Saccharomyces cerevisiae S288C: one gene and its partners. The protein of the gene in region 4 binds, or shares a complex with, the protein of the main gene of each other region. Each region holds a gene or a part of one and is shown on either strand. Other genes may lie near its edges. A codon is read from its position in the direction of its gene.

Region 1 (3,413 bases), on a different chromosome or scaffold from region 4:
ATGAAGATATAAGACAAGATAGCCTTGTTATGCAATTATTTGGTCTAGTTAACACTTTGTTGAAGAATGATTCAGAGTGTTTCAAGAGACATTTGGATATCCAACAATACCCGGCTATTCCATTGTCGCCTAAATCTGGTTTACTAGGATGGGTACCAAATAGTGACACATTCCACGTTTTGATCAGAGAACACCGTGATGCCAAAAAAATTCCGTTGAACATTGAACATTGGGTTATGTTACAAATGGCCCCCGATTATGAGAATTTGACTCTTTTACAAAAAATTGAAGTATTCACGTACGCTTTAGATAATACAAAAGGCCAAGACCTTTATAAAATATTATGGTTAAAGAGTAGGTCGTCAGAGACATGGCTAGAACGTAGAACAACTTATACGAGATCTTTAGCAGTTATGTCCATGACTGGTTATATTCTGGGACTAGGTGATCGCCATCCAAGCAACCTGATGCTAGATAGAATCACCGGTAAAGTTATCCACATTGATTTCGGCGATTGTTTTGAAGCTGCCATCTTAAGAGAAAAGTATCCAGAAAAAGTGCCATTTAGACTAACTAGGATGTTAACATACGCAATGGAAGTTAGTGGAATTGAAGGCAGTTTCCGAATTACTTGTGAAAATGTCATGAGAGTCTTAAGAGATAATAAAGAATCATTAATGGCGATCTTGGAAGCTTTTGCGCTTGATCCTTTGATCCATTGGGGATTTGATTTACCGCCACAAAAACTTACTGAGCAAACTGGAATTCCTTTGCCGTTGATTAATCCTAGTGAATTATTAAGGAAGGGGGCAATTACTGTCGAAGAAGCGGCAAATATGGAAGCAGAACAACAAAATGAGACCAAAAACGCCAGAGCAATGCTTGTTTTGAGACGTATTACAGATAAATTAACGGGCAATGATATCAAGAGGTTCAATGAATTAGACGTCCCTGAGCAGGTTGATAAACTGATCCAACAAGCCACTTCTATTGAAAGGTTATGTCAACATTATATTGGATGGTGCCCATTCTGGTGACTGCGGTGTCATTTTTCATTTCGTGCTTTGTTTACTATTTATTTTTTTTGTATTACGCATTTGTATACGTGTGCAAGTATTGTGTATTATTATTATTATTATCATTATTTTTGTAATATCTCGTCATTATGTGAAATGAAGGATGATATAAGGTACATAAATTGTGAAATCAACTCCATTTAAAACAACTTTATTGGATAGATGGCACATGGTACTTTTCACAATAGGTATTGGCAATATCAGTCCATTTTGTTATGAGCGGATGTTTTTCTTGCAAGTCAAAGTTTGGATCAAATATGGACTTACTAAGTACTTTGTTAATGCGTAATTCTTTTTGAGCATCAATATATGCCTTACTGAGGTCCTCATCTTCATCACCAAAACGTGTTCGTAGGCCAAGTAAAATCCCCATAATTATGCCAACTTGTTTCCCTAATTTAGCGCCCGTTGGGAAACCATCATTGAAACCCTCTTGCAGCTTTTCTTCTTTAGAACTCACTATTCCGTCCAAGTACCCCCTCTTGCTATGATTCTCTCTTAACTTCACTAAATCTGGAGATCGTTCAGTTTCGACATCACTGTCTGATGCCCATACATCGTCCCAAGTATTCGACATCTCTATATACTATTGTAACACTGTTCCTTTTTTGTTCTCTTCTATCAAAAACCTTTCTCATCGTTATTTTTCACTCTTTTACTTCGCGTATTTCAAAGCAATCAGGAAGTAACTCAAGCGAACAAGTCAATGCTATAAGAGAAGTAAAATAGAGAGACAGCGAGAAATACTGGGGGAAAGTATTGGCAATCACTTGAGATGTTTGAAGGGTTTGGTCCAAATAAAAAGCGTAAGATATCAAAGTTAGCCGCAGAGCAATCATTGGCACAACAACCCTGGGTTGAGAAATACAGGCCCAAAAACCTAGATGAAGTGACAGCTCAAGATCATGCCGTTACTGTTTTGAAGAAAACCTTAAAGTCAGCTAATCTACCACATATGTTGTTTTATGGTCCCCCAGGAACTGGTAAAACGTCTACCATTTTAGCGCTAACAAAAGAATTATATGGACCCGACTTGATGAAATCAAGAATATTGGAGTTGAACGCTTCTGACGAACGTGGTATCTCTATTGTAAGAGAAAAGGTAAAAAATTTTGCAAGATTGACTGTATCCAAGCCTAGCAAACATGACTTGGAGAACTATCCGTGCCCACCGTATAAGATCATTATTCTCGATGAGGCCGATTCAATGACTGCCGATGCACAGAGTGCATTACGTAGAACAATGGAAACCTATTCAGGAGTAACAAGATTCTGTTTGATTTGTAATTATGTGACAAGAATTATTGACCCGCTAGCGTCCCGTTGTTCCAAATTTAGATTCAAAGCCCTAGACGCAAGTAATGCCATTGACCGTTTGAGGTTTATCAGCGAACAAGAAAATGTTAAATGTGATGATGGAGTTTTGGAAAGGATCTTGGACATTTCGGCAGGTGACTTGAGAAGAGGCATTACATTATTACAATCCGCTTCCAAGGGGGCGCAATACTTGGGTGATGGTAAAAACATAACTTCTACCCAAGTGGAAGAATTAGCTGGTGTGGTACCTCATGACATTCTAATAGAAATTGTTGAAAAAGTCAAAAGTGGTGATTTTGATGAGATTAAGAAATACGTCAATACGTTTATGAAAAGCGGTTGGTCTGCTGCGTCAGTAGTTAACCAACTACATGAATATTACATCACCAACGATAACTTTGATACGAACTTCAAAAATCAAATATCTTGGTTGCTGTTTACTACGGATTCCAGATTAAACAACGGAACGAACGAGCACATCCAATTATTAAACTTATTGGTTAAAATATCCCAACTCTAATATACAGGCATCTTTATATAATTGAATATAGAGGCGACATAAAGTAAGAATAAAAAAAAAAAAATCTATCCATAATTCCTCTTATCTTCTCAGCACATCACCTAAAAGTCATTTTGATACAAGTACTCTTTAAACTGAGCGAAGGCTTTACCACGATGAGAAATAGCATTCTTTGCGTCTTTGCTCATCTCTGCGTAAGTCAGTCCATGACTATCAAAAGGTTCAAAAATTGAATCCCAGCCGAATGTAGTGGGTCCCCGGCTTGGAACGATCTTGCCTCTTGTAATACCTTGAAAGAAGTGATATTCACCCCGAGAATCAGCAAAACAAATGGTGGTAACTGCTTCAGCGTTTTTATTTTCAAAGGGTTCCAACATTTTCACAATTTTTTCCAATCCCATGCTCTTTAAAAACCATTTTATATAAGCACCTGGTAGACCGTTAAATTCGTCAAATCTCAACGCAGTGTCTTCCACAAACACTGGCTTACCCTTACCCAA
Region 2 (3,266 bases), on a different chromosome or scaffold from region 4:
ACATACCCAATCACGATAAGCTTCGGCACAATCGTCACAAGTCATGACCGGAGAATATCTTGCGTCTTTGTCTGCGTCACAGGATATTAACTGTAGAGCTTTGCTAAAATTTGCATATAGTGCCTCTGCAATGTGGTCATATGTCTGCGCCATGAGAGTTTTATTACCCACAGAAAATGAGGATGTAGGAACAGAGTAAGCGACGTCACTGCAGAAGTCCAAACCAAAGATCAAAGAGCAGACATCGGTACTTCTTGTGGTAAAATAAACATGTGAAAATAAAATGCCGCCCACACTTGACAACCCATCACCATTACTGATTTTCTTTGTCAGGTACGCTACATAAGTTGTTGAGGCATTCAGTCCTGTCACGTAAAACATTTCTGTCACGCTACCACCATATTCTGTAATTTTTTTTTGAATCGCCAAGTCAGTACGCTCTAAAGGATTTGTACTATTTGACGTAACTGTTGCATTTGATGTATTTTGGGAAGACACTAAATATGGTCCATTTTTCACAGCACAAAGAGATAAATTATAGTTTTGGTTTAGTTGAACAGAATCTTCGTACGAGTAAACATACAGATCGTACAAGGATGGATCATATATTGAATAATTGTGATAAACTTTGGCGTCTGCGGTGACATTCCCCGTTGATAGTAATGCAGAATTCATATCAGTGTCCAGGACCTCTACCCAAGGCCTTACATCCCACTGAAAAACCAAATCGTTCTCAGAGATACTCAGTCTATATTCCCAATTTTCAGAGGCGTCGGAACTGGACAGAGGTTGCTCCGTAGTGGAATTCACTAGCTCAGCGACCACATAAAGATTTGAATACGTGGAGGTAGCGTTCGAGCTAGAAGACTGCACTGGACTGATGGCTAATGCTTGGATGTAGCCATCCTGAAAAACTGCACTTTGACCTATATTTGGGTTCTCTAAAACCGTTTCATTAAAAGAGTAGTATATTGTTAAATCCACATCTGATCTATTCATGGGCATTTGGCATATATTGCCGCTAATAAACATTAACACTTCATACGTGGGAGCAAACCCATAACCGGAGGCTTCTGCGTCAATGGTAAATACAAAACTGTCTTTTTTGCCCGCTGTTATGTTAGATAAGATCGGGGTCCATTCATAAATGCTATCCGAATTGATGATTGTTTGTTGACCAGTAGCCATAACGTTTTTCTCCCATCTATTTAGGCTGGGAAACTTTAAGGAAATATTCTTATTTGCGAAAGGATTGAAGTCTTGGAATAAACCGTGAATAGAAGTGGTAAATAGGCAGTAAACCACGAATAGTGCTTGCCACACTATCATCCTTAGAAATAATACTGCCGCTGGACAGAAATTGTAGTGTTACGGGTTTTACTGCAATTCAGTATGGCAGTTAAGCCAGTCAAGTATTTGAGAAATAGCCAAAACGGTACGTCAGCCGGTCGAAATTATTAGGGAAATTTTCCGCAACCAATGGCTCAGTTTCAGTAACCTGTTCTTGAGAAAACAACACGTTTACTTGTAGAGTTACTATTGCGGTCCGATGGCAGCGAAACTATATCATTATTATATTATGTATGGCTTCTCAATTTTGATCTTTTTTTTTTTTGGTCAGTACGCGATTTTGAAAGAAATGGAAAGAAGCTATAAAGAGCACAGGATAAATATCTTTTCAAAGCTTGAATAATTTTATAAAAGGTGTAGGAACAGGCCCGACATACAAGAATGTCGACAAGTACAGAGAAGAGGAGCAAAGAAAACCTTCCATGGGTTGAAAAATACAGACCCGAAACGTTGGACGAAGTGTACGGACAAAATGAGGTGATCACCACAGTTCGTAAATTTGTAGATGAAGGTAAATTGCCACATCTTCTATTCTATGGGCCTCCAGGTACCGGTAAAACTTCTACAATTGTTGCTTTGGCACGTGAGATATATGGTAAGAATTACTCGAACATGGTTTTGGAGCTGAATGCATCCGATGACAGAGGTATTGATGTGGTGAGGAATCAAATTAAAGACTTTGCCTCTACAAGACAAATCTTCTCTAAAGGGTTCAAGTTAATTATACTGGATGAAGCAGATGCCATGACCAATGCCGCACAAAATGCGTTGAGAAGAGTTATAGAACGGTACACCAAGAATACGCGGTTCTGTGTATTGGCCAATTATGCGCATAAACTTACACCTGCGTTATTGAGTAGGTGCACGAGATTCAGATTTCAGCCCTTGCCCCAAGAGGCCATTGAGCGTCGGATAGCCAACGTCTTGGTGCATGAGAAGCTGAAGTTGTCTCCTAATGCGGAGAAGGCCTTAATAGAACTTTCTAATGGGGATATGAGACGTGTGTTAAACGTTTTGCAGTCTTGCAAAGCTACTTTAGACAATCCCGACGAGGATGAGATCAGTGACGACGTTATCTATGAATGCTGTGGGGCACCCAGACCAAGTGACTTAAAGGCAGTATTGAAGTCGATACTGGAGGACGATTGGGGTACCGCCCACTACACACTTAATAAGGTACGCAGTGCCAAGGGTCTCGCGTTGATCGACCTAATCGAGGGCATAGTGAAGATACTGGAAGACTACGAACTTCAAAATGAGGAAACAAGAGTGCATTTGCTTACCAAACTGGCCGATATAGAGTACTCGATATCCAAGGGTGGCAACGACCAGATTCAGGGCAGCGCGGTCATTGGCGCCATCAAGGCCAGCTTCGAGAACGAAACTGTTAAAGCCAACGTATAATCGACGCAAATATGTATAGATACAATATGTACAGAACAACTGCATTGTGCAATATAACAACATAACACAACGCCCAGAACGAAATAAAAAAAATAAAAGAAATAGATGAAAGCATTTTCAATTTGCATACCGGAAACCGTAAATCAATTGGCGTCTAGCTAACAACTGAGAATGCGAATCGCCAAATTGTTACAGAAAGTAGCATTCCGTTACGTGATCTGTACTTTAACCTCTTGGACGTAAAGAATGGCAGAACTCTGGCTCTAGTGTTCTGCGAATGCCAGATCGGGAAATATTTCCCAAAAGGGCAACAGCGGCACGAACAAGAATTTCGTGTTAAAAATCGCGTCCGGCGCGAAATTTTTCGCGGAGGCATGCGACGCAAAAGCGACTCGAAATGTCGGGAGCCAAATGAGGCTACAAGGCTGTGGGCAGATTTTGGCGTTATTATGGAGAATAAAAGGAATGGTAGCTTCCATATAGCGATAGGAAAACATATATAAGGTCAATAG
Region 3 (3,073 bases), on a different chromosome or scaffold from region 4:
AATCTGATGGACAATTTCCTTATTTGTATGCGAGTTTTCGAAAATGGACAGTAAATTTTCTATTATACTATCAACTGCTTTGTTTGTTAACGAAAATATAAGTATTTCTTCAGGCTTAATATTCTCCACAGTAATTAAATGTAGTACTTTATATAGTAGCGTTAGCGTTTTTCCTGAGCCTGGGCCCGCAATGACTTTTATCGTAGACGCTGGTTCATATGACTTATTTATTACCTTCCATTGAGATGGAGTTAGCTTGTCCATCTGTCTTCAACGAACGACGTATACCTTCTCTATATTTTTTCTACATATTATGACTATGTAACTGCACTGCGAGTTGTAAGTTTTGATCAACAAACAACTTTAAAGCTTAAATTGTGCAAAAATGAAAAAAAAAAAAAAATTCTGACACATCACAAGGGAAGAGACAAGACAAAGAAGTAGAATTTAAAGTAATGCACTAATATGGGAGTTTTTTTTATAGTTTTCGGATATTTAAATCAGGCTTTATTATTTAGTTTATGAATTTTCGCTAACATACTAGCCAGTTGCAAGTACGTTCCAACACCCTCCAGAATTCTCATATGGGTCAAACCGATTTCTTTTATCATTTCCAATCTTACTGATTCTTTCACTTGTGCTAAGTTTTTGGTAACGCGGAAAGATGTTGTGACGATATCAATCGAGGAATAACCCTTTTTCCAAAGATCTGTTCTTAAGATTTGAATTGAATCTTCTAGGTTGGAGGCTAGTAACATTTTCTTCACTATTAGAGGGTGAGGAGAATCAACAATTTTGAAGACATTGTCTGCGTTCACTAAACCGTGTCCTGCTACTGTACTTTGTAGATTGTTTATGGCCTGTCTCATGTCACCCTCCGCTGTAAAAATGATTGCTTCTAACCCATCATTTGTATACTTAACATCCTCTAGCTTTATGATTTGTAAAAGACGTTTTAGAACGTCTTCATCGGATAGTTTAGAATACCTCAAAATCGCACATCTACTTTGCAGCGGCTCAATGATCTTGTTTGATTGATTACAAGCAAATGCAAACCTTGTAGAGTTCGAATATAGCTCCATGGTCCTTCTCAACGCTTGCTGAGCACCAGCAGTCATGGAATCCGCCTCATCAAGAATAACGATTTTATGTTTCCCTGGAGGCAAATGTAGTTTCTTCTGGGCAAAATGTTTTATTTGGTTTCTGACGACATCAATACCTCTGTCATCTGAAGCGTTCAACTCTAAAACACCGTCAGCATAAGAGCGGCCAAGGAGCTCGTGAGCAAGGCAATGTACCGAAGTGGTCTTACCTATACCTGGCATACCTGATATGATCATATGGGGCATGTTACCATCTTTAGCGATTTGCTGAAGTCTATCAATGGTCTCTTTATTACCGACTATATCAGATAAAACTTGGGGACGGTATTTCTCAACCCATGGAAGTTGCAAAGATAAAGTTTTGGACATTATAAGGGACTTTTTATATCTTCTGGGAAGCTCTGCAATGTTATAATAGATCCAATCAGATTTATAAATGCTACTATTTTACAGTATTTAAAATATGTGGTTGGTTTTCCCACCTTTTTGTCAAGAAAAAACGCGTTTAATCTAACAGTGTGATGTGGTAATGAAAAATTTTCATTGTCTTTAAGAGAGATGGTGATGTTTAATATAGCGTAAAGCTTTCAAGGTAAATAATTAAGTGTCAATCTGCAGGCAAAACAACATGTCCAATGATGAGATAAACCAGAACGAGGAAAAGGTGAAAAGAACACCACCTTTACCGCCTGTGCCAGAAGGCATGTCTAAAAAGCAATGGAAAAAAATGTGTAAAAGACAGAGATGGGAGGAGAATAAAGCCAAATACAATGCGGAACGCCGTGTAAAGAAGAAGAGACTTCGCCATGAAAGAAGTGCGAAGATTCAAGAATACATTGACAGGGGAGAAGAGGTCCCGCAGGAATTGATTAGAGAGCCTCGTATCAATGTGAATCAGACTGATTCTGGGATAGAGATCATACTTGACTGTTCTTTTGATGAGTTAATGAACGACAAGGAAATAGTAAGCTTGTCTAACCAGGTCACCAGGGCATACTCCGCGAATAGAAGGGCGAACCATTTTGCAGAAATAAAGGTGGCCCCATTCGACAAAAGACTAAAGCAAAGGTTTGAAACTACTCTGAAAAATACCAATTATGAAAACTGGAACCATTTTAAATTCCTACCAGACGACAAAATCATGTTTGGAGATGAGCATATAAGTAAGGACAAAATAGTGTATTTAACGGCCGATACAGAGGAAAAGCTGGAGAAGCTGGAACCCGGGATGCGATACATTGTTGGCGGCATTGTAGACAAGAATCGTTATAAAGAATTGTGTCTGAAGAAGGCCCAAAAGATGGGCATTCCTACGCGAAGATTGCCCATTGACGAGTACATCAATCTCGAAGGCAGAAGAGTGTTGACGACAACGCACGTCGTGCAACTCATGCTGAAATACTTTGATGACCATAACTGGAAAAATGCCTTTGAAAGCGTTTTACCACCCAGAAAGCTGGATGCGGAAGCAAAATCCGCAAGCTCTTCGCCAGCTCCAAAGGACACATAGGCAGCCATCACTGTAGTATTATTAGTAACTGAATAGCAAAATAGTAATAGTCTCCGTAGCTACAATAGGTGTATATTGATGTCAGAGATACGGGTTAAACATGCGCAACTGGTAGTAGTTCTTCAAAGGGTGTTTATGCTTATCATAGTACTTGGACATTAGCCGCCGAAACTGGCTCCACTCGAAATCTAAATGGCATTCCCTTTTTAATATTAACAACACCAATCTTAGTGTCCGAGAGGTCCAAATCTAATGTAGGGCCGTGGGAGGATACTTCTTATTTCTCTTTGCTTATTTTGCTTTGATGTTGTATGTGTTTTACCTGTAAATTCTCTAATATGGTCATTTTTGCTCTTAATGACTCTTTTATTTTTACCCGGATTGCAATTTTTCACATATCGTCTTTTTATTCACTACGTACTTTAATCGTCTTCGCGATGATATGTACTGCTAACGAAAG
Region 4 (3,287 bases):
TGACCTTCTACTGGGACTGGAATACTACTCACTACAACGATACCCTATTAAAACAATAAATTGTATAAATAAATAATATTGCAAATATAAATAAATACCCATCGATTCTGATCTTCTTTTATGTACTAGTAGGGTAACGAGTTTGTAGATTAGCGGCAGAATGAAAAGAAAAAAGTTAACTAAAAAGTAAGAACAGCAAAGTTGATTGTAGTCTATATTGCTGAAATAGATATCGGAGCTCCCGTATAATATTAAAGTGCACCAAGAAAAGGATGTCGTTCTTTTTAAATAGTCTAAGGGGCAACCAGGAGGTCTCGCAAGAGAAGCTAGACGTTGCAGGAGTGCAATTCGATGCGATGTGCTCGACTTTCAACAATATTCTCAGTACGTGTCTTGAGAAATGTATTCCGCATGAGGGCTTTGGTGAGCCTGATCTAACGAAAGGTGAGCAATGCTGCATAGACAGATGTGTGGCAAAGATGCATTACAGCAATCGCCTCATTGGAGGATTTGTACAAACACGAGGTTTCGGGCCAGAGAATCAGCTACGACATTATTCGCGATTTGTGGCCAAAGAAATAGCTGATGATTCCAAAAAATAGCTGTAAATATGAGGACTGTCTGTGCTGTTTGTATATAATAGTAACCTGCATATATAGCATTATAAGCTGTGTAGACAATTTTAGAAGTACATTTATATGGTACCCGCACCTGGGTCACGTGCATTCCCCTCACCCGTTTTTTTAGGTGGTGTCTTTTTTGTTTTTTTTTTTAGGTGGCGCGGCAACTATAAAGTACAGCAAGTGAGGTTGAGGCAATACTGGGAGTTTACACTATGGGAGACAGCTCCTAACACCAAGCAGAAAAACGACTTTTTCGCAAAGTATGTAAGGCGCTGGGTGAGCCCAGCGGACGAGGATGGGCTTAATAAGAACGTACAGTTTAGCACAGCTAGAACAGGATACAGCTAAGGGCAACTCTGCTTTTCGGGAGAAGTTAAAGAGGGGTAGACAATGATGGTAATCTTATAAACCGGCTACAATGAAGGTTGTAGCAGCAAGGAAGATGATATTTTAATACGGTTCAGGTGAAATGAAATAGCCGCCCATAACGGCATGCTCAAGTTGTAAGTCAGGACTCTAGCTTTCTACTGTAGTATCCTCTAAAGGACTGCTGTTCTGTGCACCCCCTTCCTTTGTTTATCATAGCGCACGACAAGAGTACTAACTAATTAACTTAGAACATTAACATATATAAAACTAGCGCTATGGCCGCAACTAAAGAAGCAAAGCAACCAAAGGAACCAAAGAAGAGGACCACCAGGAGAAAGAAGGATCCTAACGCCCCTAAGAGGGGCTTGTCAGCTTATATGTTCTTTGCTAATGAAAACAGAGACATTGTCCGTTCCGAGAATCCTGACGTAACTTTTGGCCAAGTAGGCAGAATATTGGGTGAGAGGTGGAAGGCCTTAACTGCTGAAGAAAAGCAACCCTATGAATCTAAGGCTCAAGCAGACAAGAAGAGATACGAATCTGAAAAGGAATTGTACAATGCTACACGTGCTTGATCTAACAACTCAATGTTCTCTACCTCCCATACAACGTACTTTTGAAACTTCAGAAAGAAGTTGAGTAGGTTGCATTATGTGTTATTATTATTACTATTATCATTATTTTACTTATATATCCTTCTTTTCTTTTATGTATTCTCTTCCTTTTTCGCACAACTTATGCTGATTCTTCAATATCTAATTATTTAGCATTTTTCTTCTCCATCCGACGCACCAAAACGCGAAACGCGTAACTTTTTTTTTTTGGATTTCAACTGATAGTTTTCGTACTTTGCTTCCTCTGGTACATAAAATTATATATAAGAAACACTTTTGCTTTAGCCTTCCTTTCTTTCCACTTGCACCTTTCACTTTCGCCGTCCTTTTTCACTCACAGCAACAAGCAGCAAGCACTAAGTACGCAGTCAAAAGAGAGAAAAAATGTTAGAAGCAAAATTTGAAGAAGCATCCCTTTTCAAGAGAATAATTGATGGTTTCAAAGATTGTGTCCAGTTGGTCAATTTCCAATGTAAAGAAGATGGTATCATTGCACAAGCTGTCGATGACTCAAGAGTTCTATTGGTCTCCTTGGAAATAGGTGTCGAAGCCTTCCAAGAATATAGATGTGACCATCCTGTTACGTTAGGTATGGATCTAACCTCACTAAGTAAAATCCTACGTTGTGGTAACAACACCGATACATTAACACTAATTGCTGACAACACACCGGATTCCATCATCTTATTATTTGAGGATACCAAGAAAGACCGTATAGCCGAATACTCTCTGAAATTGATGGATATCGATGCTGATTTCTTAAAGATTGAAGAATTACAGTACGACTCCACCCTGTCATTGCCATCTTCCGAATTCTCTAAAATTGTTCGTGACTTGTCCCAATTGAGTGATTCTATTAATATCATGATCACCAAAGAAACAATAAAGTTTGTAGCTGACGGTGATATCGGATCAGGTTCAGTCATAATAAAACCATTCGTGGATATGGAACATCCTGAAACAAGCATCAAACTTGAAATGGATCAACCTGTCGACTTGACGTTCGGAGCTAAATATTTATTGGACATCATTAAGGGCTCCTCCCTTTCTGATAGAGTTGGTATCAGGCTCTCCAGCGAAGCTCCTGCTTTATTCCAATTTGATTTGAAGAGTGGGTTCCTACAGTTTTTCTTGGCTCCTAAATTTAATGACGAAGAATAAATGTAAATTATCTATATAGTTGTATACTAAAAATAATAAACAAAAAAAAAACAGTAAAGTTTGTTTTAAATGAAAATAAATAACAAAGAAAATAAAGACTAAGATGCGTTAAATATCAGCTTTTTGTGTGACTTATACAGTATTTATGACATATCTTACATTAATCTAGACAGCACATAACTTTTGCTATGAACCCTTCCAAATGGAATATTGCTTTGTTTCCAAGTGATAATCTTTCGTCAAAAACACTTGAGTATTCAATTATGGACGATTTATTCGTGGTATTCAGGGTTTCCACATCCAACAAAGAAAACGTTAGTTCCTTTAAGATGATATTGGCAGGTATACAATGAGCTAGTAAATCGTATAGGACAGCTCTGCATTCGATTAAAGAATTGACAGATCTCTCTTTAACGATTTTCCTCGTTAATTTATGGATCACTATAATCCAATCTGGTTTTATTATAGGGCTACTGCTTTTCAATGCTAATTCGTTGTTCAGTGCCATAGATTCAAGCAT

The links.
Region 1: the proteins of POL30 (region 4) and RFC2 are in contact, whole or in part, in a cryo-EM structure (PDB 7TI8), measured with the Saccharomyces cerevisiae proteins. Residues at the interface, in NP_009645.1 of Saccharomyces cerevisiae: Leu25 (codon at 2,063), Asp93 (codon at 2,267), Thr95 (codon at 2,273), Pro96 (codon at 2,276), Asp97 (codon at 2,279), Lys117 (codon at 2,339), Leu118 (codon at 2,342), Met119 (codon at 2,345), Asp120 (codon at 2,348); in NP_012602.3 of Saccharomyces cerevisiae: Asn112 (codon at 2,185), Arg115 (codon at 2,194), Leu116 (codon at 2,197), Thr117 (codon at 2,200), Val118 (codon at 2,203), Ser119 (codon at 2,206), Lys120 (codon at 2,209), Val163 (codon at 2,338).
Region 2: the proteins of POL30 (region 4) and RFC3 are in contact, whole or in part, in a crystal structure (PDB 1SXJ), measured with the Saccharomyces cerevisiae proteins. Residues at the interface, in NP_009645.1 of Saccharomyces cerevisiae: Val40 (codon at 2,108), Asp42 (codon at 2,114), Ser43 (codon at 2,117), Arg44 (codon at 2,120), Val45 (codon at 2,123), Leu46 (codon at 2,126), Phe125 (codon at 2,363), Lys127 (codon at 2,369), Glu129 (codon at 2,375), Lys210 (codon at 2,618), Tyr211 (codon at 2,621), Glu232 (codon at 2,684), Pro234 (codon at 2,690), Ala251 (codon at 2,741), Pro252 (codon at 2,744), Lys253 (codon at 2,747), Phe254 (codon at 2,750), Asn255 (codon at 2,753); in NP_014109.1 of Saccharomyces cerevisiae: Lys73 (codon at 1,948), Asn74 (codon at 1,951), Ser76 (codon at 1,957), Asn77 (codon at 1,960), Asn95 (codon at 2,014), Gln96 (codon at 2,017), Asp99 (codon at 2,026), Phe100 (codon at 2,029), Ala101 (codon at 2,032), Ser102 (codon at 2,035), Thr103 (codon at 2,038), Arg104 (codon at 2,041), Gln105 (codon at 2,044), Ile106 (codon at 2,047), Phe107 (codon at 2,050), Lys109 (codon at 2,056), Lys112 (codon at 2,065), Asn140 (codon at 2,149).
Region 3: the proteins of POL30 (region 4) and RFC4 are in contact, whole or in part, in a crystal structure (PDB 1SXJ), measured with the Saccharomyces cerevisiae proteins. Residues at the interface, in NP_009645.1 of Saccharomyces cerevisiae: Leu25 (codon at 2,063), Asp71 (codon at 2,201), Ser74 (codon at 2,210), Thr95 (codon at 2,273), Pro96 (codon at 2,276), Asp97 (codon at 2,279), Lys117 (codon at 2,339), Leu118 (codon at 2,342), Met119 (codon at 2,345), Asp120 (codon at 2,348); in NP_014547.1 of Saccharomyces cerevisiae: His95 (codon at 1,190), Gln98 (codon at 1,181), Lys99 (codon at 1,178), Lys100 (codon at 1,175), Leu101 (codon at 1,172), His102 (codon at 1,169).

What each region holds. Positions count from the first base shown.
Region 1 is NC_001142.9:565,792-569,204, forward strand, and holds RFC2 (replication factor C subunit 2), read left to right. Parts: upstream 1-1,851; coding exon 1,852-2,913; downstream 2,914-3,413. Other genes in the region: phosphatidylinositol kinase-related protein kinase TOR1, read left to right, coding at 1-1,037; YAE1 (Yae1p), read right to left, coding at 1,228-1,653; nucleoside triphosphate pyrophosphohydrolase HAM1, read right to left, coding at 3,015-3,413. UniProt on the Saccharomyces cerevisiae protein: Component of ATP-dependent clamp loader (RFC and RFC-like) complexes for DNA clamps, such as the POL30/PCNA homotrimer and the checkpoint clamp DDC1:MEC3:RAD17 complex.
Region 2 is NC_001146.8:84,487-87,752, forward strand, and holds RFC3 (replication factor C subunit 3), read left to right. Parts: upstream 1-1,731; coding exon 1,732-2,754; downstream 2,755-3,266. Other genes in the region: MID1 (Mid1p), read right to left, coding at 1-1,329. UniProt on the Saccharomyces cerevisiae protein: Component of ATP-dependent clamp loader (RFC and RFC-like) complexes for DNA clamps, such as the POL30/PCNA homotrimer and the checkpoint clamp DDC1:MEC3:RAD17 complex.
Region 3 is NC_001147.6:141,084-144,156, forward strand, and holds RFC4 (replication factor C subunit 4), read right to left. Parts: upstream 1,473-3,073; coding exon 501-1,472; downstream 1-500. Other genes in the region: HMI1 (ATP-dependent 3'-5' DNA helicase), read right to left, coding at 1-264; TRM10 (tRNA (guanine(9)-N(1))-methyltransferase), read left to right, coding at 1,732-2,613. UniProt on the Saccharomyces cerevisiae protein: Component of ATP-dependent clamp loader (RFC and RFC-like) complexes for DNA clamps, such as the POL30/PCNA homotrimer and the checkpoint clamp DDC1:MEC3:RAD17 complex.
Region 4 is NC_001134.8:424,470-427,756, reverse strand, and holds POL30 (proliferating cell nuclear antigen), read left to right. Parts: upstream 1-1,990; coding exon 1,991-2,767; downstream 2,768-3,287. Other genes in the region: acid phosphatase PHO3, read left to right, coding at 1-59; TIM12 (Tim12p), read left to right, coding at 273-602; YBR090C (uncharacterized protein), read left to right, coding at 699-883, 1,241-1,424; NHP6B (high-mobility group nucleosome-binding protein), read left to right, coding at 1,268-1,567; RFC5 (replication factor C subunit 5), read right to left, coding at 2,928-3,287. UniProt on the Saccharomyces cerevisiae protein: This protein is an auxiliary protein of DNA polymerase delta and is involved in the control of eukaryotic DNA replication by increasing the polymerase's processibility during elongation of the leading strand. Involved in DNA repair.